Oreochromis niloticus: one gene and its partners. The protein of the gene in region 1 binds, or shares a complex with, the protein of each later gene. Links are inferred from orthologs where the notes say so. Each region holds a gene or a part of one and is shown in the gene's direction. Other genes may lie near its edges.

Evidence for each region. Proteins that work in one complex are often made in the same cells at the same time.
Region 2: cullin-1 (region 1) and fbxo10 share a complex: the UniProt entries of both Homo sapiens proteins name them as parts of the SCF(FBXO10) complex. The link is inferred for Oreochromis niloticus from reciprocal best matches to the Homo sapiens genes CUL1 and FBXO10.
Region 3: the proteins of cullin-1 (region 1) and fbxl17 are in contact, whole or in part, in a cryo-EM structure (PDB 8UBT), measured with the Homo sapiens proteins. The link is inferred for Oreochromis niloticus from reciprocal best matches to the Homo sapiens genes CUL1 and FBXL17. Residues at the interface, in NP_001357589.1 of Homo sapiens: Thr54, His143, Arg147, Asp150, Glu151; in NP_001156787.2 of Homo sapiens: Pro325, Ser327, Leu330, Asp358, Phe359, Gln360, Asn387.

The regions. Positions count from the first base shown.
Region 1 is NC_031974.2:2,231,126-2,238,431, forward strand, and holds the start of cullin-1, read left to right. Parts: upstream 1-4,288; 5' UTR 4,289-4,475; intron 4,476-7,306. UniProt on the Homo sapiens protein: Core component of multiple cullin-RING-based SCF (SKP1-CUL1-F-box protein) E3 ubiquitin-protein ligase complexes, which mediate the ubiquitination of proteins involved in cell cycle progression, signal transduction and transcription.
Region 2 is NC_031971.2:22,576,798-22,584,580, reverse strand, and holds the start of fbxo10 (F-box only protein 10), read left to right. Parts: upstream 1-4,764; 5' UTR 4,765-5,068; intron 5,069-5,407; 5' UTR 5,408-5,452; coding exon 5,453-6,037; intron 6,038-6,172; coding exon 6,173-6,997; intron 6,998-7,176; coding exon 7,177-7,326; intron 7,327-7,631; coding exon 7,632-7,768; intron 7,769-7,783. UniProt on the Homo sapiens protein: Substrate-recognition component of the SCF (SKP1-CUL1-F-box protein)-type E3 ubiquitin ligase complex. Mediates the ubiquitination and degradation of BCL2, an antiapoptotic protein, thereby playing a role in apoptosis by controlling the stability of BCL2.
Region 3 is NC_031977.2:23,971,790-23,979,731, reverse strand, and holds the start of fbxl17 (F-box/LRR-repeat protein 17), read left to right. Parts: upstream 1-4,923; 5' UTR 4,924-5,142; intron 5,143-6,895; 5' UTR 6,896-6,915; coding exon 6,916-7,392; intron 7,393-7,804; coding exon 7,805-7,942. Other genes in the region: prxl2c (thioredoxin-like protein AAED1), read right to left, coding at 829-959, 1,125-1,259, 1,349-1,454, 2,535-2,588, 2,755-2,823, 3,138-3,320. UniProt on the Homo sapiens protein: Substrate-recognition component of the SCF(FBXL17) E3 ubiquitin ligase complex, a key component of a quality control pathway required to ensure functional dimerization of BTB domain-containing proteins (dimerization quality control, DQC).

The DNA.
Region 1 (7,306 bases):
GTTAGATTCACTTTTCTATGCAGGATTCTGTTGTATTTTCTTTACCTTTGTTTTTATTTTATTTGTAGTTTTCATTAAATCTGCAGCTGTGTCCAACAGACTGAGTCCGTGTGTTCAAGCTGCAAACACCGGAAATAAAAATGTTTGCTGCAACAAACAGACTTCACGTAACACTTCTTAATTATGAAAGTCGTTTCACTTCTGACCGACTGTGAGGTGTGGCCTGTGAACACATCACGCCACTCTCCATTCTTACATAATTCAAAGACAGCAGAGCAGGACTGACATAAACGGGCTGTGGCCACCCGCAGCAGAGAGGAGAGTCAGTCATAAGTTGTGACGCAATAACAATAAAAATGTTCACTTAATATTTACAATAAATGTTAAAGCAGTTGGTTTCTGTCTGAGGCATCACAGCTCAGTGTGGAAAGCAGCGCTCGTGCTCTTTGACATTTGGAAAAACTCATCTTCAAGATGAAGATCGCAAAGTTTTCCGGTGTTATTCCACGACTCTGAAACTGCCTTCAATGACGTTTCAGAGGTAAGACCGGGAATGCCTCACCTACGAGGTGTTTGAGGCATGTCCGGATTTCTGATTTCCACCCACAGGAGGGGTCGTAGGGGTTTGGTGCTTTGTGGATCAGGCAGCGGTCTGGGCTGGAGCCCCTGGTTGCTGAATCTGGCCAGTGATTATTTCTATTTAGAATATTTTAAATCTTTTATAAACTAACAGTTACAGTTACCTGCAGCCCAGCTGCACTAGAAATCTCCAACATCCGGCTGCTATGGAAACATGAAAAGCTCAAATTGTCAGGTGGTAGTTGATACAAGCTTGGAGAAGACACACACAACACCACCTGGAGGTGAGAGGGAGATTGTTTCTTTAGATTTTGTAAAACTTTATACATCTATGCACACATGTAAAGAATCAGTGACACCTGAAGCTTTAATTTACCTCCTGGGTCTCAGGATTTACTGATAAAGTGAAGCAGGAGCAGCAGCGGAGATCGTCGGGGAGGATTCACCTTCCCTTTGACTTTGATGAGGATGCTTCCTTGCTAGAATCCAAGCTTGTGTTTCCTCCCATGCCAGCAGAGGTCGTGTTCTGCCTGTTTCAGAGGCTGTGGCGGTGCACAGGGTGGGTAGACGGTGATGATTGACCATCACACTGCACAAAGAGGAAAGGTGACTGGAGAGCATTCAGATTCCTGTAGCAAAACACCTTCATGTAGAACGATCACAGCACAGTGAGAAGCACAGACACAGTGAACCTGAGGACTGTGGTTATTTTTGTAATGTTTCATTAGAATGAGTCAAATGCAAGTCAAAGGAGCCATTTGAATTCTTTGCATAACCTTCACATACACACATTAAAGGCCAGGAAGCTAAATGTCAGCATCGTGCTTCTGTATCACGCATGCATAATTGAAATGTGTCATATGGCAACTAAAACCCACCTTTGCGCATGCGTGACAGCTGTAGGGAAGCAGCTGTGAGGCCATGATTGTAGTCCTTATAGGGAGGCCACTTTGTGGAGCAGGTGTAGCATTCAGGGGATCCAGGGAAGCTCAGACATTTCAGTGTTAGAATGTTTTTGTTTCTTTGTGTTTGTTTTTCCAGTATTAAAAAATTCTAATTTCTGGTTATTTTAATGACAAAATATAAGGAATGTAATTAAAGTAAAAACTATTATATAAAGACAAGACAAAGAATATTAACTTTAAATCAATAAAATCTTTGAAAATTTGATTTTTGGATAAAAACACCAGTGTTTCAAACTGTTTTTTATCAGATTTGAATGATAAGCCTACACATGCATGTTTGAAATCATTTAAATTAAAGTCATTTAGGGTTTGGATCTTTGTTATATTTGAGCCACATGCTGAACAAGCGCATTTCCAAAAACTGCAAATAAAGTATCGTACATGTAGCACTCGCAGTTCTGCTGTCTTTACCCTGTTTTCTGCTGTAGAGCACAGATTAATGTTTAATTTGAAAAAAGACTCAATGTTAAGCTTAACCAAGCTGTGGGAACAGTAATATAAATCAAACATGCATGCAAAAAAGGTTTTAAAAACCCCAAAACATACTGTAAAATCACATGTATATGTGACCGGTGTGTTCCTGCGTTGTTAGAATTAGAATTCAACTTTATTGTCATTGCACATGTTACCAGTACCAGGCAACGAAATGCAGTTTGCATCCATCCAGAAAGTGCTTTGGCAATAATATAGATATATTACCAAATATGGATCTATTACAGGTATGTTACAATGTACACGGTGTGAAGGTATGTTATGTTGTGTCTGACAATGAAAGGTAAAAAGAAACAAAGACCTCAAAGTCATTAACTTGCCCGCTCCAGCTCCTGGGAAGAGGGTTAGCTCAACCCACCACAGCTGTGATGACAATAATTGAACTAAAAACATAATCAGAAACATCAGGGTGGCTAAATATACTGTATATGTGTGTTGTACAGTGTTGGAAAAGAAAGGACACCAACTTCTCCCACAGGGGAATCGTAGGAAAGGGGAGAGGCCAAAGGGGTACACTGTATTTATAGGGTTGCACCAAAGAAGAGGAAGAAAATGATGAGGAGGGGCTCTAACTGTTAATGATCATAACTACAGGCTTAGCTCTACTGAAGTTCAGCACAAACTAAAATCAGTTGTTTCTTTACATTAAACACAGTTATTTACAATAAGTACCATTAATAGACTGTAAACACAAAGTCTGAGCACAAGTTTTGGTTCTCAAAACATGGAAATTGGGTTTTTCATTAAATTTAAACAATGCATATTCAGTTATGTAATTTTGTGTAATTTTTGTGTAGCTTTATGAATGAATTAAATTAATAAATTAACAAGAGTATTAAATAAAATCAACAAAGGGTCTTTCATAAACGATTTGTAATCTCTGATATTGTTGAAAAAGACCTGACCTGCGATTGACCTCTGTTCTGTGTTTTTATTGTTATGGGTTTTACAAAGTAAGCTAAAGATATCTCCATTAGCGCCTGAAATACACCGGCCTGGTGAATAGTTTAGGTTTTATTCTTTGTTTGTTCTTTTGCAAATCTGAGTCTCATAATTATAGCTTGAGTTTATTCTTAGTAAGTAAGTTAATATTATTTACATAATAAATTTAAATTAATGCACTTTATATTAGAGAGAGAAAAACAGAATGTTTCTCAGGTTCTGTCTACACATGGTAGTGCTGGGATATGCTGCAAATTTTGGTATTGATATGATACCAAATAAATACAGGGCCAGTATTGCTGATACCAATACTGATTTATTTAACACAAATGAACACAATTCAGTGCGCTACATGCTGACCTTACAGGACAGAAACAAAGTATGGATCCAATACCAGTACCAGTATGGTATTGATACTATCAATATCTGGATCGATCCCCCCACCTGTAACACATAGTCACACTACTTGCATTAAAAAACACACAACAACAAACTGTCCATGAGCGACAGTTTCAGAGATCAGCAGGTGGTAAATGTTTGACAAAACAGGTGTTCAGCCTGTAACAGGCATGTTTTCCCCACATGTTTGGGGAATGTTAGCGTTAGAACAAAGTGTTCTCAACCTCAGCACCTATTTGTTTGTCAAATTTAAAATTGGTTAAAAGTAGTTAGCAGCGTTGCCTTGCAGCAAGAGGGTCCTGGGTCTGAGTTCACCAGGCTTACTGACAGGAAGGATGAATGTTAAAAGCAAAAACAACAACAACAACAACAAAACAGTCCCCCAACATAGATCCTTGTGGAACTCCAGATGTTGTAACTGCAGATACAGAGAAGTATTTCACAATTTAACTAGTATTGCATACAAAACCACTGATACACATCTATCCAAATAATCAGGGGGTAAATCATAAGCATTTCAACTTTACTGTCAGTATTTGGATTTTATTTAGACTGTATTATTAGTATTTCATCTGGAATAGTATTTTCACTTCATTTTGGAATATTCTGGACTTGTTTCTCCGAATGGAAAACTTGAAAGAAAGAAAAAACTTCCAATATTATTTTCACAATGTTATTTATGAAGTATTTTTTCAGTTACAGAAAAAAATGCCAGGCAGAGTTAAGTCAAAAATGTAAGTCATTATTTTAAAAGTTCAACTTTGAGGCAGTTGGTTTAAATTTTGTCTCACCTCTGTCTGGTATGTTTTTTTTTCAGTGGCAGAAACAAACGTCCGTATTTTGTAGCCCTCCTATTCTTTAATAATAAAGAGTGCATGCGTGTGTCGGCGGTGCTGTGCGTATTTCCGAGGGAGCCTGAAGGCAACTGCAGTCAGTGGCCGCGGCGCTGTGAGCTGATCTTTGTGCGAACGAAGCAGCGCAGCAGTCGTAGTTAGCCACCGACAGCAAACACACTCAGAGACGGCAGCGGGACACCGATTTTTGGCCTGAAAACAACTCATCCGGCGATTACAAAGTGACTGGGACTGCTTTAAAATGGTAAGGTGACATTTTAGAGCTGGGCCGGGGAAGATTTTTTTTTCTCTCAGCCTGTTAAGCGGAGAGCCAGCACGCTAATGCTAGGCGGTTAGCGAACTGTTTTCCTGACTCATTATTGAGAAGCTCGAGGAGCTAGGCTGCCATTTTACACCAGGCTGTTAGTCTGTCCTGGCCTCTGCCTTTGACTGTAAGAAGACAGCCTTTATGTTGAATACAGTCCCAGTACCACACATGTGTGTAAGCGATTGATAAATGTGGGTCACATAGAGGCTGTGCTTTGATTTGAAGCTGGTCCATCCAGCGTTCGGGCAGCAGACGGAGCTACCAGGCTAATCGAGCCTCAGAGGCTAATGGGAGCTAGCAGTATTGCGTAGCAGCGCCTGACTCCATTCCGGGGAATAATCACAGTGAATATTTTCCAAATTAACAGATACTGGGGATCATTATATTCCAAATATGTCCAAGTATCCGTCGGGGGTAGGCTTTTTTCGAGCACATCCCTGTGAACCGTGTGGTGCGGTGCGGTCTGGTCATTCGAACAGGACACACTCCTGGAACAACTGGTGAAGCGGAGCAGCGATACGGTCGCTCATTTCCTAAGATATTAGGAGAAGCTCGAAGTCAGAGGTACTGCTGACACTGAGCTGCCAGAGGGAAGCAGCTGTTGGAAAACGTCTGTTTTCATACTAATCGAGATTCCTGGATATACGTCCTTACAGTTCTCCTTAATTTAAATAGTGCACTTATTTTAGACCCTGATCGTTAAAACGAGATATTAAGAGTCAATGACTATTGCACAGGATTCTAACTCTTTACTTTAGTTCACTTATTATTTCTTCCCTTTTATGGAGTCCTAGTATTTGTCAGTATACAGGACAATATAGAGCAAAAGTCTTGAGTTGAGTTACACCTCACTCCTTTGTGTTTTTCTGGAGTAATGGGAAATATGTGCAGCGATTTATAAAAAATTAAAATATAAATAAAGCAAAATCCGAGTTTTTACAAGTCTAAGGAGTTTGAGCCATGTTATCTGAGCACTCTTTAAAAAGTCCTCCAGGCTTCAGACATTCAAAGCTTTTCTTTGGATGTTTGTCTTTTGTTCTGGTCCGTCAACATGATCCCACAGTGCTTCAGTGCTGTGGGGCTCTGTGGAGGTGAATCCATAACTGACAGTCGTCAGTTGTCTGTTTTCTATTCATATATGTCTTTGCTACACGGACAGTGTGTGTGTGGGCTCATTGCTCTCATGAGTAACCATGGTATTGTATGGTGACTCATAATCTAAACATCACTGTTTATAATTCTGACCATTGATACACCACTGGATGAAGCATGATAGGGCCCCCAGTGGCTGTAGACACTCACTGGTGTGCTGCTCTCCTCACCTCAGTACATATTGACAAACAGAAATTTTAAATTCGGATTGATACATTTTTCTTTCTTTCTTTGAGGGCTCACTGTACAACATGTCAAGAAATGCCAAGACTTTGGCTAATAGTGCAAGAAATGTCTTCTGCATTTTTATTAAATATATTCAGCTAAACAAATCAGAAAAAGTGATAGTTTTTTCCCTCTGAAACTGGCCTGAAACAGAGTGAAAAAGCAGCTAAAGTCCAAAGAAAAACTTTGACAGACCTTCAGAAAGCTGGAGAAATATTCCAGCAGAAAGTTTTGCTCCTCAGGGAGAAAAACATAAAGAAGTGAGGGCATTGCTGTTTAAATGAAGCGCTGTAGGGCACTTTTTTCCCCCCACAATGGCATGAAGTGTTTAAATATGTGTTTTTAGGTGTCGAAATAGACTCAAATTATGGTAAAGTCCAAGTTTTAAACTTTGTTGCATAAATCTGCATCTTCGGCAGTATGTAATTGTGAAATAATCAGCTCAAAATTGTGTAATCAGAGTCACCTTATTACCTGTGCTTTCTCCTTCTTTGAGTTTGTCCTTATATTGATTTTAAAGCTGATTCTCCCACAGTGTTTTAAAATGCTGCAGTTCAGATGAGTTTTAAAGAGAGAAGTTTCTCCTCAGGGTTTAACGCCTGCTAGTTTTCTTTATCAGGGCTTTTATTTTGAAGGACAGTGTTAATTATTGGATTTTCATGTACACTTTTGTCCTCATAAGTGAGGCGTCACCTATTTGTTATTAAAAAAGAAAACTGATTATAAGGCCAACAGGTGACAAAAGGCTTTTATTATAGTGGGCCAAAGACATTAAAGGTATTCACCATCATCTGTTTTACCGTCTTCAGAGTCTAAACACACAAAGATGCCAAAGAGCAGTTATATTTACACCTTTGTTGAACCTGTTACTGTCCTGCTGTTTTTACTGGCCCTTTTGCTCAAATGTAAAAGCTGAAAGCTGAAATGCGTGTCTGATGGTTCACGTCATCTTGTTTCTACACTTTTGTTCAGCACGTGCAGGTTCAACAGAACTTGATGGCCTGAGTTTAAAAAGTACGTCGAGCACACTGATTGGCCGGCTCCTTGCAGTTGAGTTCACCTGTGAATCAAACCTTTGCTTGATTTGCTTTTCATGCTGGTATCAACCGGTTTTACCATTAAATGAAGTGTTTGAGGTACTGAAATGAGGAAACGTTTATTAGAGTCGTGAAAAATACAGCGAAAAGGCGAAGAGTTTGTTTCACATTTGTGACTGAATGTAGATCTGCATGAACTGTAAACCGGGGTTTCAGAAGGGTTAAGTTAACGCAGACGTACATTAAAGAACAAGGTTTGACTTGAAACTGATCACAATCTAAACCTTTACAGCAGGTGTTACCTGATCAGCAAGCATGAACATGAAGAAAAGTGTTTTTCTTCCTCAGCTGTTC
Region 2 (7,783 bases), on another chromosome or scaffold:
TGAGTTCTCAGAATCGGCTCTTTGACCACAAGAATGACAATACCACGGAACTTAAGTTTGGATAACATCATAGAAAGCTCACGGCTCTCCAACGGGAGATTGAGAGACCAGTGTTGGACTGTTAGAACAGCTTTGAAATTCTTATGAGTTGTTCGCACTAAAGTAAAAACCATCATCATTTCATGCGGAGACCCCTTCGGCGCCAGCTGTGGTCTCAAGACTGGAGCTGTACAACAACACCCTGATTACAGACTGTGTTTAGACTGTTCTTCCCTTTCTATGCAAGGCCACCTGGGTTGGCTGGAAGACTATTTACTTAGCCCGGCAGGGCGAAGGACACTGTCTCAGCTGAACTCTGGACATACACACACACACGCACACAGACATATACACATGCAGATATACACTCATCCCCCCTCCCCTTCCAAACGCCTTCGACGCTTCCAATGCTGACGGTGGATCATGGAGACCAGCGCATAGGCTGCAGGCCCGGATGTACTGTCTACATTGGCTGTCTCTCACCCTTTACCCATCCCTGTTGCTTGTCATGTGTTTCTTTGGTGTATTAAGAGTTTTTTTCATGTGCTATGTGCAGAGGTGTTTTTTTCTGTTCTCAAACTGATCTCCCTGTTGGAGCTCAGTCTGGGGGGAGTTATTTTTTTCTCCTTATCTTTCCTCATGTTGTGCTTTTCCATGCTATACCCCTCTGACCTGTCTTCCCCATGTGATGTTTGTGTAATGTATGTATGGTCGGATGGGTAAGACGGCGCTGGCACGGCTGGCAGCCTTAATCCAATTTCCCTCGGGATGAATAAAGTATAATCAATCAATCTTTTAACATACAATAATTTAATAAGATAATTAAATGAAGATGGAAAATTAAGCAGAAAAACTGCTTACTGGCTCCATCTTATCTTACAAAATATGGCACATACTACACACACACACACACACTTGTACAGACAATAAGAAGCGTGGGGTGACTTCATGGTATGACCATGTCCACTTACATGGATGTGATTTTCTGCTATTGAATTCAGAAAAAACTGAAGTTATTGTGCTCAGCCCTGAAAATCTTAGAAATATAGTATCTAACCAGATACTTACTCTAGATGGCATTACCTTGGCATCCAGTAACACCGTGAGGGACTTTGGAGTCATTTTTGACCAGGATATGTCCTTTAATGCACATATTAAACAAATATGTAGGACTGACTTCGTTCATTTGCGCAACATCTCTAAAATTCAAAATATTCTGTCTCAGAGCAACGCTGAAAAAGTAGTTCATGCATTTATTACTTCTAGGCTAAACTCCTGTTATTCATTATTATCAGGATGTCCTAAAACTACCTGAAAAGTCTTCAGTTGATCTAAAATGCTGCAGCAAGAGTACTGACAGGGACTAGAAAGAGAGATCATATTTCTCCTATATTGACTTCATTTCATTGGCTCCCTGTTAAATCCAGAATTGAATTCAAAATCCACACATACAAGGTCTTGAATAATCAGGCTCCATCTTATCTTAATGACCTTATAGTACCATATCACCCCATTAGAACACCTCGCTCTTGCGCTGCAGGCTTACTTGTTGTTCCCAGAGTATTTAAAAGTAGAAAGGTAGGCAGAGCCTTCGGTTTTCCGGCCCATTTTTTATGGAACCAGCTTCCATAGAACACGTGGACCTCCATCCACATTTGAAATTTGTGACGAGGGGGGAAAATGCGCTGGATCTTCTTTACACAAACATTCCCAGAGTGTACCGAGCAAAGCCCCACCTCCAGCTCGGATACTCAGACCACTTGTCTGTTATGCTAATTCCAGGATACAGAACGCTCGTCAGACACTGCAAACTGGTTCTGAGACAGGTGAGAACCTGGCCTGCAGGAGCAATCTCTGCTCTTCGGGACTATTTTGAGCACACAGACTGGGATATGTTCAGGGAGGCAGCAACAAATGATGACTACACCAACTTGGAGTAGTACACATCATCTGTGACCAGTTACATCAGCAAGTGCATCGATGATATCCAAGATTACACGCCTTAACCAGAAACTGTGGATGACTTCAGAAGTGTGTGAGCTGCTAAAAACACAAGACTCCTTCAGAGCCAGCGACAAGGCGGCCCTGGGAATAGCAAGGGCCAAACTGTCTGGAGTCATCAGTTCAGCGAAGCGAGCACATGGCAGAAGAATCCATGGCCACTTCCCAGACAGCCGCAACACGCGGCACATGTAGCAGGCCATCAAGGCCATCATCAACTACAGGAAGAAGACACCTGGCTGTAATGGTGACGCCTCCCTACCAGATGCACTTAGCAACTTCTATGCATGGTTTGATGCTCAGAATGACGTGCTGGTGAGGAATTTTTGCACAATGCTCAGTCTTTTGGATCAGGCGACCCTGAATCCTCCCTTAGTCATGCTGCAGTAGGTATAGGCTGCTGGGGGATTCCTACAATACATTGAGTATTTCTTCTTCAGTCATCTTTCTCAATTACTATTTGTTAATAGACCTCTCTGCATTAAATCATACTTGTTATTAATCTCTGGTTCTCTTCCACAGTATGTCTTTTAACCTGTCTTCCTTCTCTCACCCCAACCGGTTGCAGCAGATGGCTGACCCTCCCTAAGCCTGGTTCTGCTGAAGGCTTCTTCCTGTTAAAAGGGAGTTTTTCCTTCCCACTGTCACCAGTGGGAAGTGCTTGCTCATAGGGAGTCATATGATTGTAGGGTCTGCCTTACAATATAAAGCGCCTTGAGGGACCTGTTGTGATTTGGCGCTGTATAAATAAAACTGAATTCAACTATGGATGTGAAAAATTCATATTTTGTAGTAGGAAAGTTGCTGCCAGTCAGGCTGAAACAATTATTTAATACGACTTGTACTTTTCACTTGATAAGCTTTTCTTTGAAACCTTCACGTCTGCCTTCCTAACACTCCTCTCAGTGGCTTTAGTCGTCATAGCAACCGGTCCCCGCAGGTGTGCAGTGAAGTCACGTTTTCTCTTTCAGGGTTATTTTATGATACCGCAGTTTTGTCCGTTTCCATATGTATGTAGACCCCATGGAGACGGGTATTCGGCTTACACACGCGTGCTCCCGTGCCGTTCTCTTGAAATCCAACAACGCATAGTTTGGCATAGGCTGAACGCTGATTGGTTGATAAGTGGGCCAAAGCAGACCCGAGAAACACGATCCGTTCTGCCATGTGCTCATGTCCTTACCTTTCACAATAAAAGCCCCTGAGTCCTGAATGCTTTGCAGTTTGACTAGAGCCATCACGCTAAGAAGCTGAATTAAATAGCTTACAAAGGTGAAGAGATTTGCAAGAGATTCTGAGGTATACATAAGAACCACATCATTGATTTAGAGGTATGAAATGAAAGACAGTAAATGATGTAACAGATTGGTGGCAGATGAAAGGGCGTTAAAAGTGGTTATCTTTCTAAAGACAAGAGCAATATTAAATGTCAACACTGAGTAACTGACTGAAATTAATATTTACCACATGTCAGAATAATTTATTAAATAAATTATCTATTTGTTTTTAAGTATTCACTGCTGAGGTTCTGATCAAAATGTTTCAACAGTGACATCTGCTGGCTAGATGGGGTAGGGCAATCCATGTGATTGTGCAGACAAGAAATCAGCAGGACTCTCACCTCTTCAGGATGTGATCTTTTACATTAATATAATGAACTTCCGTTTTTTTCCATGCTAATACTTATTCTAACAGCTGCGAAGGACTGTTAAATTAGGAGAGAATGGATTTTGAAGGGTACATTCATCAGCAAAAAAACGCACTGCTGTGGGAAGGAAAGTGCTGCTTTTGTGGCAGAGCTGCAGGCCTCTTTGCCTTAGCATTGGCACTGGATTTTGATATTGACAATGGAGTGTTTCACTGTTATTTTGGCTGTGTATTGTGATAGTCTATTTTAACCTATTTTAATAGAAACTGCCTATGCATTCAGAAAGACAAAATGAAAGGTTTTTCTACTTTTGAGTGGAAATAGATAATGTACTTACTGTATTAAGTCCTTTCATCCTCATGCTAACCCGTTACTCACATTCTATGCAGCCAGAAGCTACCAGAAAAACATCCATTAATTAGAGATGACCTATTTGTTAACAGTTCAGTTTTTTTCCACTCAGTGTGCAAATGTAATATAAACAGAGAAGCCATGCAAGTTCAGAGTGACCAAAACTCCAGATTCCAGACTCAAACAAAGTAAAATGATAACTTAATAAATGCTGACTTTACTGTTTTAGAAAAGAAAAGCGCATTTAGTCTCACATTTACTTCACTATTTATTTTACTGTAACAAAATTGGCTAAAGGTGTGTTGAGTTTAGGCAATGGAAACCACAGGCATTATGGTTGGTAACCTACTGCTAGCTTTCTGTTTAATTTGTTCTGTTTTAAAACTTGCATCGTTGTATAAAAATGATAATATTTAGGCCTATGTTAAATTCCTTATGATTGTTCTGTCATTTTACACATTTCAACAACAATTAAACAGTTAGTATGTTTAAAAAAATACACTGTCAGGTACTGTTTTTTTTTTTATTTCTCTCCAGTACACTAGAAAGTCATGATAATAGTTCTGGTAAATGTAGGATGTACATAGATTTATTTATTTTTTTAATTTTTTTTTTTTTAATTGATAATATATAGTTAATATTGGGGTGCTGAGGTGGGATTAGCGGGGGGCACCAAATTAAATTCCACTTAAGGCACCATAGAACCTTGGACCGGCTCTGAATTTGGGGTCTAACTAGTTAACAACATTCTTCCCTATACTTCAGCTTCCCCTCGGATGCACCAAGGGGAAACTGAAGTAAACGCCCACTTTTGGGAAGCGGAAGATGGGGATCTTGGGTTTCTTGCTGTAAACTGTAAGCAACCGTCTGAACTCCATTTATTTCGATGGTACATCTGCAGTAATTATGATAACTGTAAACTCCCGAAGAATGCGAAGACAAAGTCAGTGTCGCAGGCATGCGACGCCGGATGGATGGCTTGTCTAAACGTCGAGCCGACATGTGTTGACTATGGCAAACTGGTAAAAGGTAAGGACGTTTTGGCTAGCGTTAGTTACGCCGCTAGCTAACCGCGTTTAACTGCAGCAAACTTTCAGGGCAATATTGCAGGCCCTTAGTGGAGATATCGTTTACCGATACGCAAAATGAACAGTAAGGTTATATAATTCATATCTAGTTTTCGCTGTATTTTGTTTTTCGGCTAAAATTAACGCTGGTCGTGGCGCCATTTGGTGTTGATGTGCGAATATTAAAAACAAAACGCACTTGAATATCCTGTTGTGTAATATTGTGCGTCTTCATAATTGTTGTGTAACGGTTTGCGCTTCCTGTTGCCTGAAATGCGCGTGCATGTGTGTCTGTCTCTAGGTATCCCGCCCATCGCGGTGCTAACCAGCCGGCGTCTCTGCTGCCATGGAGGTGGGCAGCCTCCCCGTGGAGCTGTGGAGGGTTATCTTAGCCTATCTCCCTCTCCCTGACCTGGGCCGCTGCTGCCAGGTGTGCCGTGCCTGGCGGGAGCTCATCCTCTCTCTGGATAACACCCGCTGGAGACAGCTCTGCCTGGGCTGCCCTGAGTGCCGACATCCCAACTGGCCTAGTCAACCTCATCTGGAGCCCCCTTCGTGGAGAGAGGCCCTGAAACAGCATGCCCTTGCCACCCGCACCTGGACTCAAAATGGTCCAGAGCTCCAGTCCTCCGCTTGCCTCCTCTTCTTCCGCCGTCGGAAAGATCGCAGGGTTTGGCACGTGGGGCCGGGATGTGAGTTTGAGACCCTGCGCGGAGCCCTTGGGGTGGTGGGACCTTACGACCGAGTGGTGCTCCATCCAGGGGTGTATGAGGAGCAGGCTGAGGTAGCGCTGAAAGTACCGGTGGAGCTGGTTGGGTTAGGCCGACTAGGCGAGGTGGCCCTCTTAGTGTGTATGGAGCAGCAGTGCCCTACTGCCAGGCTGTGTAATCTGGTGTTCATGCCACCCTGGTTCTCCACGGTTGTCTACAAGGTGAAGTAGCAGCTTGTTTCCTAAGAGTCTCAGAGTCAGATTGGCCTAGTCTATACACTCCTATAAACACAAATTTCTTGAGAAAATAGAATCTAATTATAGTTCTTTGTTTCTTTCTGTCTTGCTCTCCTCTAGACATCCTGGGGACATGTCCAACTAGATAACTGCAACTTTGAGGGAGCTCAGCTGCAAGTCCGCGGGCCAGGAACCTGCCAGGCTCGGTTTTGCTCTTTCTCCCAGGGCAGCTCTGCACACTTGCTGGGAGTTGTCCTGAGTTTATTTGACAGCTGTGACTTCTCAGGAAGTGACACAGCTTCAGTGACTGTGGAAGGTCCCCCGGTCTCAGAAAGGAACTGGGCTTGTAAACATTTGGCAGCTCTGGCTAGGACGTTCCCATCATGTGGCCTATCTGAGCATAATAGTTCTCCCAAAGGACATCCGGCTGCCTCCACTGGTGGACACCAACCTCCAGGTGCTAATGTTAAAAAGGAGAGCATAACCATAGATGACTGGAAGAGGAGAACAGGGGTAGATGGGGTATGTCAGAGGACAGTGATTGAAGATGGCTGGAGTGATGGTGAGCGCAGTGAGGGAGAGGAGAACAGAGACGAGGGGGGGGCCAACAACACCAAAAAGCATTTTACACTGGAGTACAAAATCCCATGTGACCATCATGGCCTATCGCATTTGCTCAACCCCCAGCCAGATGGCTCTCTTCCGCTTTCCTCTTCCCCCGATCCCCCATCCATGATCCCTGACCCTCTCACCCTACAGCAGGAGTTAGACAGGGACCCAGAGGCTCACATGTTGGCAGCATCGACACTTGGCTGCATCCTCAGACGATGCCTCTTCAGGGACGGGAAGGGCGGTGTACATTTGTCCAATTATGGACAAGCTCGACTGGAGGAGAATGTTTTTCGTGGGCTGAACTACGCCGTGCGCTGCATCCAAAACTCCACAGTTAATAATGTTCCTAGTAACTTTGCTTCATACAAATGGCATGAATCTGTGATTGTGTATTGTGTGTATTCGGGAAACATATCAAGTTAAAGTAGCTCGGGTCATTAGTAATTTAACATCAGTGTCCTATTCAAGCTGCTACTTGATCACCTTCCTTTTCTGTCTCTCTCCTGCTTCAGATCGTAATGCTGAGAAACGAGGTCTGCGAATGTCGTGCATCAGGCGTGTTTCTGCGCCTCTCTGCTCAGGGCCTCATAGCAGAAAACAACATCCACTCGAACGGGGAGGCAGGGCTGGATATCCGAAAGGGGGCTAACCCAACCATTGTGGTAAATGCAACACAATTGCTGATTGGATTCCAACTTTTTAAAGATGCAAGCAAACAACAAAAAATTTCCTGTGATAGCATGTCCCAGACCCTTTCAGCAGCATGCCCAGATATCATGGATAAGGAGAATTTTGTTCACTACTCTTCTAACTTACTCAACTTAAGAGCTTAAGATGTTCTTGCGTGCATAAAACAAAAAGAACCAGAGTATGAATATTTATAATTTCCAGAAATGATCTATTCAGGCTTTCCAGATGAAACTAATTTCCTCAGTCTCTTTATCCACTATCAACTATTAATCCACAGTGCAACAAAATACACAGTGGTTTGCGCTCTGGGGTTGTTGTCCTTGGCAATGGAAAAGGTTCAATTCGAAGCAATCAGATTTACAACAACAAAGAAGCTGGGGTATATATTCTCTTCAGTGGAAATCCCGTGGTAAGGTAGGTTGGAGTCTG
Region 3 (7,942 bases), on another chromosome or scaffold:
CCTGCATCAAGAACAACCATCATCAGTTCTTGACATGTGATTGAAGACACTGGACAATGCCAGTAGTGCATTTTTTTAATGAAACTGTACTATTTGCAAGGCCAGTGATTCTAACCTCTCCCAAGTTTTTGGCAATATGGTCAGGTCAATGTCTAGCCTTGAAATAAATAACAGACTTGGGAATGCTGGGACTGAAATATTTGTTACGGATAAAACTCTTCTTGCTGCAATTTGTCTATCCACAACAGTAATGTAACTTAACAGTAGACGACTGGGGAAAAAAATCAATGTAATGATGAATCCAAGTGAGAGATTTCTGTCTGTAACATAATTTGTCTGTAGCAAATTAGACGTGTTGTCTTATTTGTCAAAGTTTTGCAAGAACTACTTGAAAACTATATAAGACTACGAATAAAGAGTGCTGGCTGACATCAACTTTTTCCTCCACAGTCATTGGACCTCAGCCATGCTGAACATTTAACTGCAAAGGCCAAGCATTCACTGATTTCTCAAGAAGATGTTTGGAACACTTTCAGATCGTACCAGGAAAACATGCCTTATCGGTTTCTGCACAAACTTGCCGCGTGCACTTTCAGTTTGAGTGATGTTATTAAAGCCAAGACAGTTGAGGGAAGAGCAGAGAGGGGTGTGTTAAGCTGATAAAGTCATTGTAATGTACTATTTGTCAATCAAGTTGAATTCAAATGAAAAAAAGAAGCAACAGAAACTCATTTAGTCATCTTAGAGTTTGGAGCTGATTGTATATAGACTCCATGTGTGATTACAGCAGTGACGTGGGATGAAACACACTTTCAGGCAGGCACCTAACTAGATGTGAATGATTTTCGGCTTATGGCTGAAGTCAATCGTTTGCTGAGCTCCTGCAAGCTGAAGGAGCCAGTTAATGGGCATGTGGTCCAGGCGGTTCATGTCAAGATGGGAAAAATGAACTTTAGAGCCTGTAGAGAGGGAGAAAACAGTGAGTGTGAGGAAAAAAGATATAATGCAGTGCCAACATTAACACATAACATCATATATATATATATACATATATATGTGTGTGTGTGTGTGTGTGTGTGTGTGTGTGTGTATAGGGAGAGAGAGAGAGAGCGAGACCAACTTACCAGGTCCTGCAATGATGGCTCCACCTTGTTGATGTAGGTCACCCTGAAAATCAAATGCAGGACTAGTCATGGCTCTCCATATAGTCTTGATTTGGCCCATAAAAATGCCAGACTTCACATGGGGACTAGGCTGCGCTGAGTTCACAAACACAGATACAAAGACGAAGTTTCATTATCATCTCAAAATAAGCTTACTCATACACTCCAATAGTGTTTTTGCATACCAGAGTCTGTGAATGTCTCCTCTCTCTTCATCCCCAGCTTTTGGTAAATGCGCCTCCCTGGGTCCACATATATTTCATAAGGATACCCCGTGAGCAAGCAGAACGACTACATGACAGAACAAGGAGAAAGAGTACATTTGTCTGGAAAACTATAGTGCCTGCTGTGATATTTATATACACTCATCAGACACTGTAATAGGTACCACTCGCAAGTACTGAGTTAGACCTTAATTCTTTGTGGCATACATTCAACAGAGATTTTGGTTCATATTGAACTGATAGCATCACACAGTTGGTGCAGCTTTGATGGCTGCACATCCATTATGCCAAAGACGTTCTACTGGATTGTAGTAGTGGAAATTCTTATATAGTGAATAGTGAATTCTTTCTCTTCCTTGAACTAGTTTTGATTATTGATGATTTGATGTGTTATCCTGCTGGAAATAGCCATCAGAAGATGCAAATACTGTAGTCAGAAAGGGATGGACGTGGTCGGGATCAATACTCGGGAAGGTTGTGGAGTTTAAATCACACTCAATTGGTTCCAAGTGGCCCAAGGTGTACCAAGAAAATATGCCCTCCACCATTATACCACCAGCAGCCTGAACAGTTCAGAATCAATCCACGCTTTCATTCTTTTTTTACTTCAGATCCTATCATCTGAATGTTGAAGCAGAACTGGAGACTCATGAGACCAGAATGCATTTTTCCAGACCTCTATTGTCCAATTTTGGTGAGCCTGTGCAAACTGCAGCCTCAGTTTCCTGTACTTAGCTGACAGGAGTGGCTCTAGGTGTGGTCTTTTGCATATTTTGGTTCTAACAAGTGGTTATTTCAGTTACTCGTGCCTTCTTATCAGCTCGAAGCAGTCTGGACATTCTCCTCTTACTTTTCACACAGACAACTGGTGCTCACTGGATATTTTCCCCTTTTTTTTCAACCATTCTCTGTAAACCTTAGAGATAGCACTGTGGCAAAATTCCAATAGAGCGCCCACATGTCAAAACCAGACTCAATTAAATCACCTTTCTTCAAAACTTCAGCGAGTTGTTTTGACCATGTCTGCATGCATAAATGCACTGAGTTGCTGCCATGTGGTTGGCTGATCAGGTATTTGCTTTAACAAGCAGCTGAACAGGTGTCCTAACAAAGTGTCCAGTGAGTGTATATATAACAAAATAATTACCTCTATGTGATGATAAGCAGACTGACCGATCACGACCAGTCTAATTTCAGCATCCTGCAACAACACACACGGAATTTTGGATTTGTCATGATCAATTATTTATGTTAATACTCATCAGACCTCCTATTGTTTTAACCGAGCACCTTTGCTGCCAGTGTCGCAGCTATGCTCTTTGTTTTCACAGCCTCGAGTGCACTGGTCCTTACTAAACAAGACTTACCTCCAGTACTTCTCTGGGTATTTTTCCCAAATCATCAACATACTCTTTACAGCTGTAGCACAAGAAATTCTGCAGGGACACATATTAAATAAAATGTTAAAAGGCTGTAGTGATGAGAGAGAGATCACTGCATTTAAAAATTCACATCTTGCGCCTATATAACATGTATCCCTCTGGCTTCACCTATGGAGAACGATCTCTTCATTCGTCCATTTCCAACATAGCACAGGAAATTCTTGGAGCATCTGGCCAGCTACACCTGGGCTCACCTGGTACCTACTTTGAAGCCTATCAAGACCCATTTAAAAGCGCAACTTAAGGGAGGGTGCTTATGCGAACCCATAACTCATCAGCAAAGTTAAGCCAAATGAAGTTTTCCCTACCCGCACAAAAATTATGACCGATTTCCTGTCTTGGTATAGGGTCTTGAACGGAATAGAAACTCCATGCCGGTCGTAAATTAAACAGTCTTCGACGTCTCTGAGATTAATATCCACAAAACAGGTCACATTTTCCTGGCTTCCTTTAGTTACTTGTCGAGTTATTGGTGAAACTACTTCAGCCATTTTTTTTCCTCAGAGGATCCAGAATTCGCAGTGCTGCTATTTTGGGAGTTGCCATTCAGCCTGGAGGAGCTGGTGCCTGGAAAATTCACGCCCATATGCTCCCTCTCTCTCTCTCTCGCTCTCTCTCTAGGAGAACGAAGACAGACGGCCAACACATATTCATTGGTTAAACATTGCAATGTTTAACCATTGGTTAACCATTGGTTAAACATTGCAATGTTTAACCAATGGTTAATATTATCTTACTCTCCGGATTTAGTGTATAAACAAGGCAATACAAACAGAAACTGACCGGTGCGTCAGTGCGTCAGTGCGCACGCTGTGACTTCACAATAACAGTTAGCAACATTTATTTATATATATTTCAGCTCATATTTCAGTGAACAACATTGCCATGGGAATTTACAATGAAGGACAGTTTGAACTGTACATCCAGATTATTATCTCTCTCTCTCTCTCTCTCTATATATATATTAATTTTATGCAGTAGACGTACTGTACAGTTCGGTACTGTAGACAATTACATGTGCTATGTATATTGTCGTTAACAGTCTCTCATTCTGTGTTATGTTTATAAATTATAATTTTATGCCCTGATTCTCTCTCCCCAAAGTGTTTTTTTTTTTCTGAGCTCCGCGCAAGACCAAGTTGGCTGCAGTATACTGTAGTTGCTGCAGAAAACCCAGTTAAGTTACATACAACTGTAGATTTTATCCTATTTGTGACTTTTAAGTTTTACATTTCATACTTTAGTCTAATAGTGCTTGGTGGTCTACTTGATGTGTTTAATGCATGAAACGTTTGGAATATAAACAATGAGTTACATGAATATTTAAATAAATGAAATGAACTTCTGATTAACTTTGATTTATTTTGGCAGTATGTCTATATTTTATGCTTGTTTTATGTTGGATGCATTCTTTGAATTCGCATAATATGCAGCGTGTGTAGACACTTGGCAGCTTCAGTACAACCAAACCTACAGGTGGAGCTACTTCATTTACAATATCAACTATTATGTTCACGAATAAAATCTGATTATTTTTTGGGAGTGACCAGAATGGACAGGATTAGAAATTAGTGCACCAGAGGGACTGCTCATATCCAGTGCTTGATGATTTAGACAGGCAAGGCTGAGGTGGTTTGGACATTTGAAGAGGAGCGGTAGTGGACAAAAGGTGCTAAATGTGTAGCTGTCAGGGAAGAGGAAGACCAGTAAATAAATTAACTGCAAGAGTAAAGGTGTTAAGACTAGAAATTTATAAGGTAGGTAGTGTTTTCTGTAGCAACCACTGTCAGTAGCTTATTTTGGGGCGGTTGTCCAGTTTTCCTATGGTTAATAAATTAAAAGTTTGCTACTTTTGTTTAAATAAATAATCTAAACACGATACAAAATGATTCCCATTAGGAGACAATAGCTTAATATTTTGACCCTGTGTTTTCTAAGTCAGTTTTCAAGGCTGTATTTACTTATCATTAAACAACAACAACAACAACAAAAAATCAATCCCATGATTGGTTCTTCTCTATCCCCCAAATCCTGGGAACAGGATTTTCATTGATGGCGAATTACGAATCGCCCTCGTCGGCTTCCTTCCCGCTGCCCTCTCGGTGCGGAAGTGCTGTCCTCAAGAGCAACAGCAGCAGCAGCAGAGGTACAACCAGAGCTGCTACTGTTTTGGAAGAGCAGAACGGCGATTTAGTGGCCGGTTTTCCTGCGCCCGCGTCTCTCCTGTCGGGGCTCGTCACCGTTCATCTTGACCGTGGAGCTTAGCAGTATTATGCGAGCGCAGTGCGGAGTGTGGGAGCACCGTGTGAAGTGGTGAGAGATGATTGCTTTTGGGGCTATAGCTAACTTAGCATCTGGGGATGGAGCAGGCTAGCCTGACAGAAAACTGCGAAGCAATCTCGTCTTTCTTTCCCTCAAAAACAACGTTAAGTTCGTGTGAATGTTGAAGACAAATGTGCGGCAATTCCAGGCAAACCGCAGGTGTCACGTTAAGTCTGCTTTGGCGTTTCTACATGCTAAACAAATGACCACCTGTTCACTGTTTACATCTCTGTGTTTTGATTCAGCAGCCACCAACCGGTGCTGCACCGCTGCAGTTATCCGACGAGATTTTTCACGTCCTCAACAAATATGGATCATTAAAAACCAAACAAAACAGAAACAACCCCAAACCCCCAAAACATTTTTCAAATTATGCACAGCGTCCACGTCTGAATCTTTTCCATCGTAGGGAAGCACGGGTGCAAAGCTTGCTGCTCTTTGTTGTGTGCTGCGCTGAGATTTAGGCTTTACTCTTAAATTGTGAGTGTTTTTAACAAATAACATCAGTATTTCATTGCAGTACTGTGTTGTTGGGCTCTCCGGTGCTGAGTTTAATGACACATGTGGTTGCTGTGAGTCTTGTCCATCGTCATGTCTGTGTCAGCAGAAAGGACTGTCCTGATTGTTGTTGACATACAGGATCAGGCTCAGATTTTTCTTTTCTTTTTGTGTGGAAATCTGTGCTCACGTGCTGTTATTTACACGAGCCCACCATGATCACAAATGCATCCTTACTTCCAGATTAAGTTAATCTCACTCTCCACCCCGTGTGTGTGTCAGACAACTCTAGCGTTATCTTGTAAAGTTCCCATCTTTTGTTAAGCATTCTTTCACTGCAGCTATGAAAAACAGCCTTGAAAACATTGCAGCTTTGAAGGATGGGCATTAGATTTTCCTACTAAAGGTTCATGTTGACTTTGCCTTTAGGGAAAAGAGGAACATTAAAGAAGCTAATAAAATGACAGGCTTAATAAAGCACGAAAAAAGCCTCATTAAAAAAGGAGATAATGATAATGATAGCTGTTAGTGATCCTGCAATTTTCCCATATTATTTTATTTATGCGGGGCAAAACATTGTTAGCAAAAAGACATTTTCTGTAAATTGATGAGATACATCTTTACTCATAAAATTGTATTAAAAGTATTATATGTACAGCAATGTTTTGAATAGTCATTTTAAGGAAAAGAAAGGATATCTTTTGTTCTCTTAATTATACAGGGGCTAAATAATTAGCCTAAGCTATTTTTATGTAATGACTACAATAAATTCGTAGTACTGAGGATGGAAACTATCAAGTTCTTTTTTCATTGAATAGTTTTTTTCTGCATTGTGTATTTTTTGACGCCAAGTCTTAACACTCAACTTTCATAGAATTTTCATATCATAATAAACTAGCATCCTTCGCTCTCACAACAGCCTTGTTCACGACACCCATCAACCTCCTCTGAGGTCTTTCTCTTTTCCTCCTGCCTGGCAGCTCCATATTTAACATCTTTTGTCCATTATATCCACTAACCCTGTGCTGCACATGTCCAAACCATCTCAGCCTTGCTTCTCTAACTTTGCCTCCAAACTGCTTGCCTTGAGCTGACCTTCTGATATGCTGATTTGTAATCTTGTTCATCCTGGTCACTGCCAATGAAAATCTGAGCATCTTCCACTCTGTCACCTTCAGCTCGGCCTCCTGTTAGTGCTGAAACATATAATATATATATTTCCAATCATTTTTTTCTGTTGTTCCAGAGTTTCCTTGAATCATCTATATGGGCCATCTTTTTTCGAAAAATGGTTATCGCCTGAAGAAGAGGACACGCAAGTTGCATCACAGGAAGAAGAAGAAGAGGAACTGTTTTCTGCACGGGCCCTGCATGCTCTGCTTTATCGTCCACGGCAACAGCGGTGGTTTCGACGACGAGAGCGACCACTTCGAGGCCAACGGGTGTCGACACAACAGCATCACGGGAATCAGCGTCCCAGGTGTTGGCGGAGTCGGCATCGGAGCGGCAGCTGCCACGAAGCTTGCGGAGCGATACGCAACTCTCGCATCTCCGGAGGATTGCTCCAAGTTCTTGTTGTCACCGAGGGAACTTGCTATCTGGGAGGGCCAGGGGAGGAGCCTTTTGTCAGCTGTTCCTGCCAAACTAATTCCACCACCGGCCCTCTTCCGTACCGCTGGTGTGTCTGTGACTGTGCCCATACCTGTGCCTGTGCCTGGCTGCACCAGCGATTACACAGAGATGGTAGGCATCCGGTTCGGAGCATTAATTCCTAATTAATATAGGCTTTTAATAAGTTTCAAATAACTGTATTGGATATTTATTTACATTTAACAGTGCCTCAACGTTTTTAGTAACAGGGCTATAAGCTACAGATTACACATGAGAAATGTTTATAGGTGCTTTAAACTTGCTTAAAAAATGATATTATGCAGTTAGAAAGGTAAACTTTGACTTTTCTTTGTCCTTAAATATCTCTTAAGTCAAAGCTGTATTCTTTCTAGTCCTTCTTTTATTTTGTTCTTATTGAGGATCCAAACTCAGGGGTGTTGTTCTCATAAATTTCTGTCTGTAATTGTAACTAAATCTGCCTGAAAATCTGATACCAAGTGACCTCTGTGTGTGTGTGTGTGTGTGTGTGTGTGTCCGATTGCAGGTGTGTAAGAGGAAGTGCTCAGAGGTGCAAAGGTGCACCCCTTGTAAGCAGCCGCGCTGTGCCTTCGCTGCTCCTGATGGAGGGCTGGAGAATGGAGGTGGGGGGGAGGCGGCCTCGAACTCTGAAACGGGCCACTGC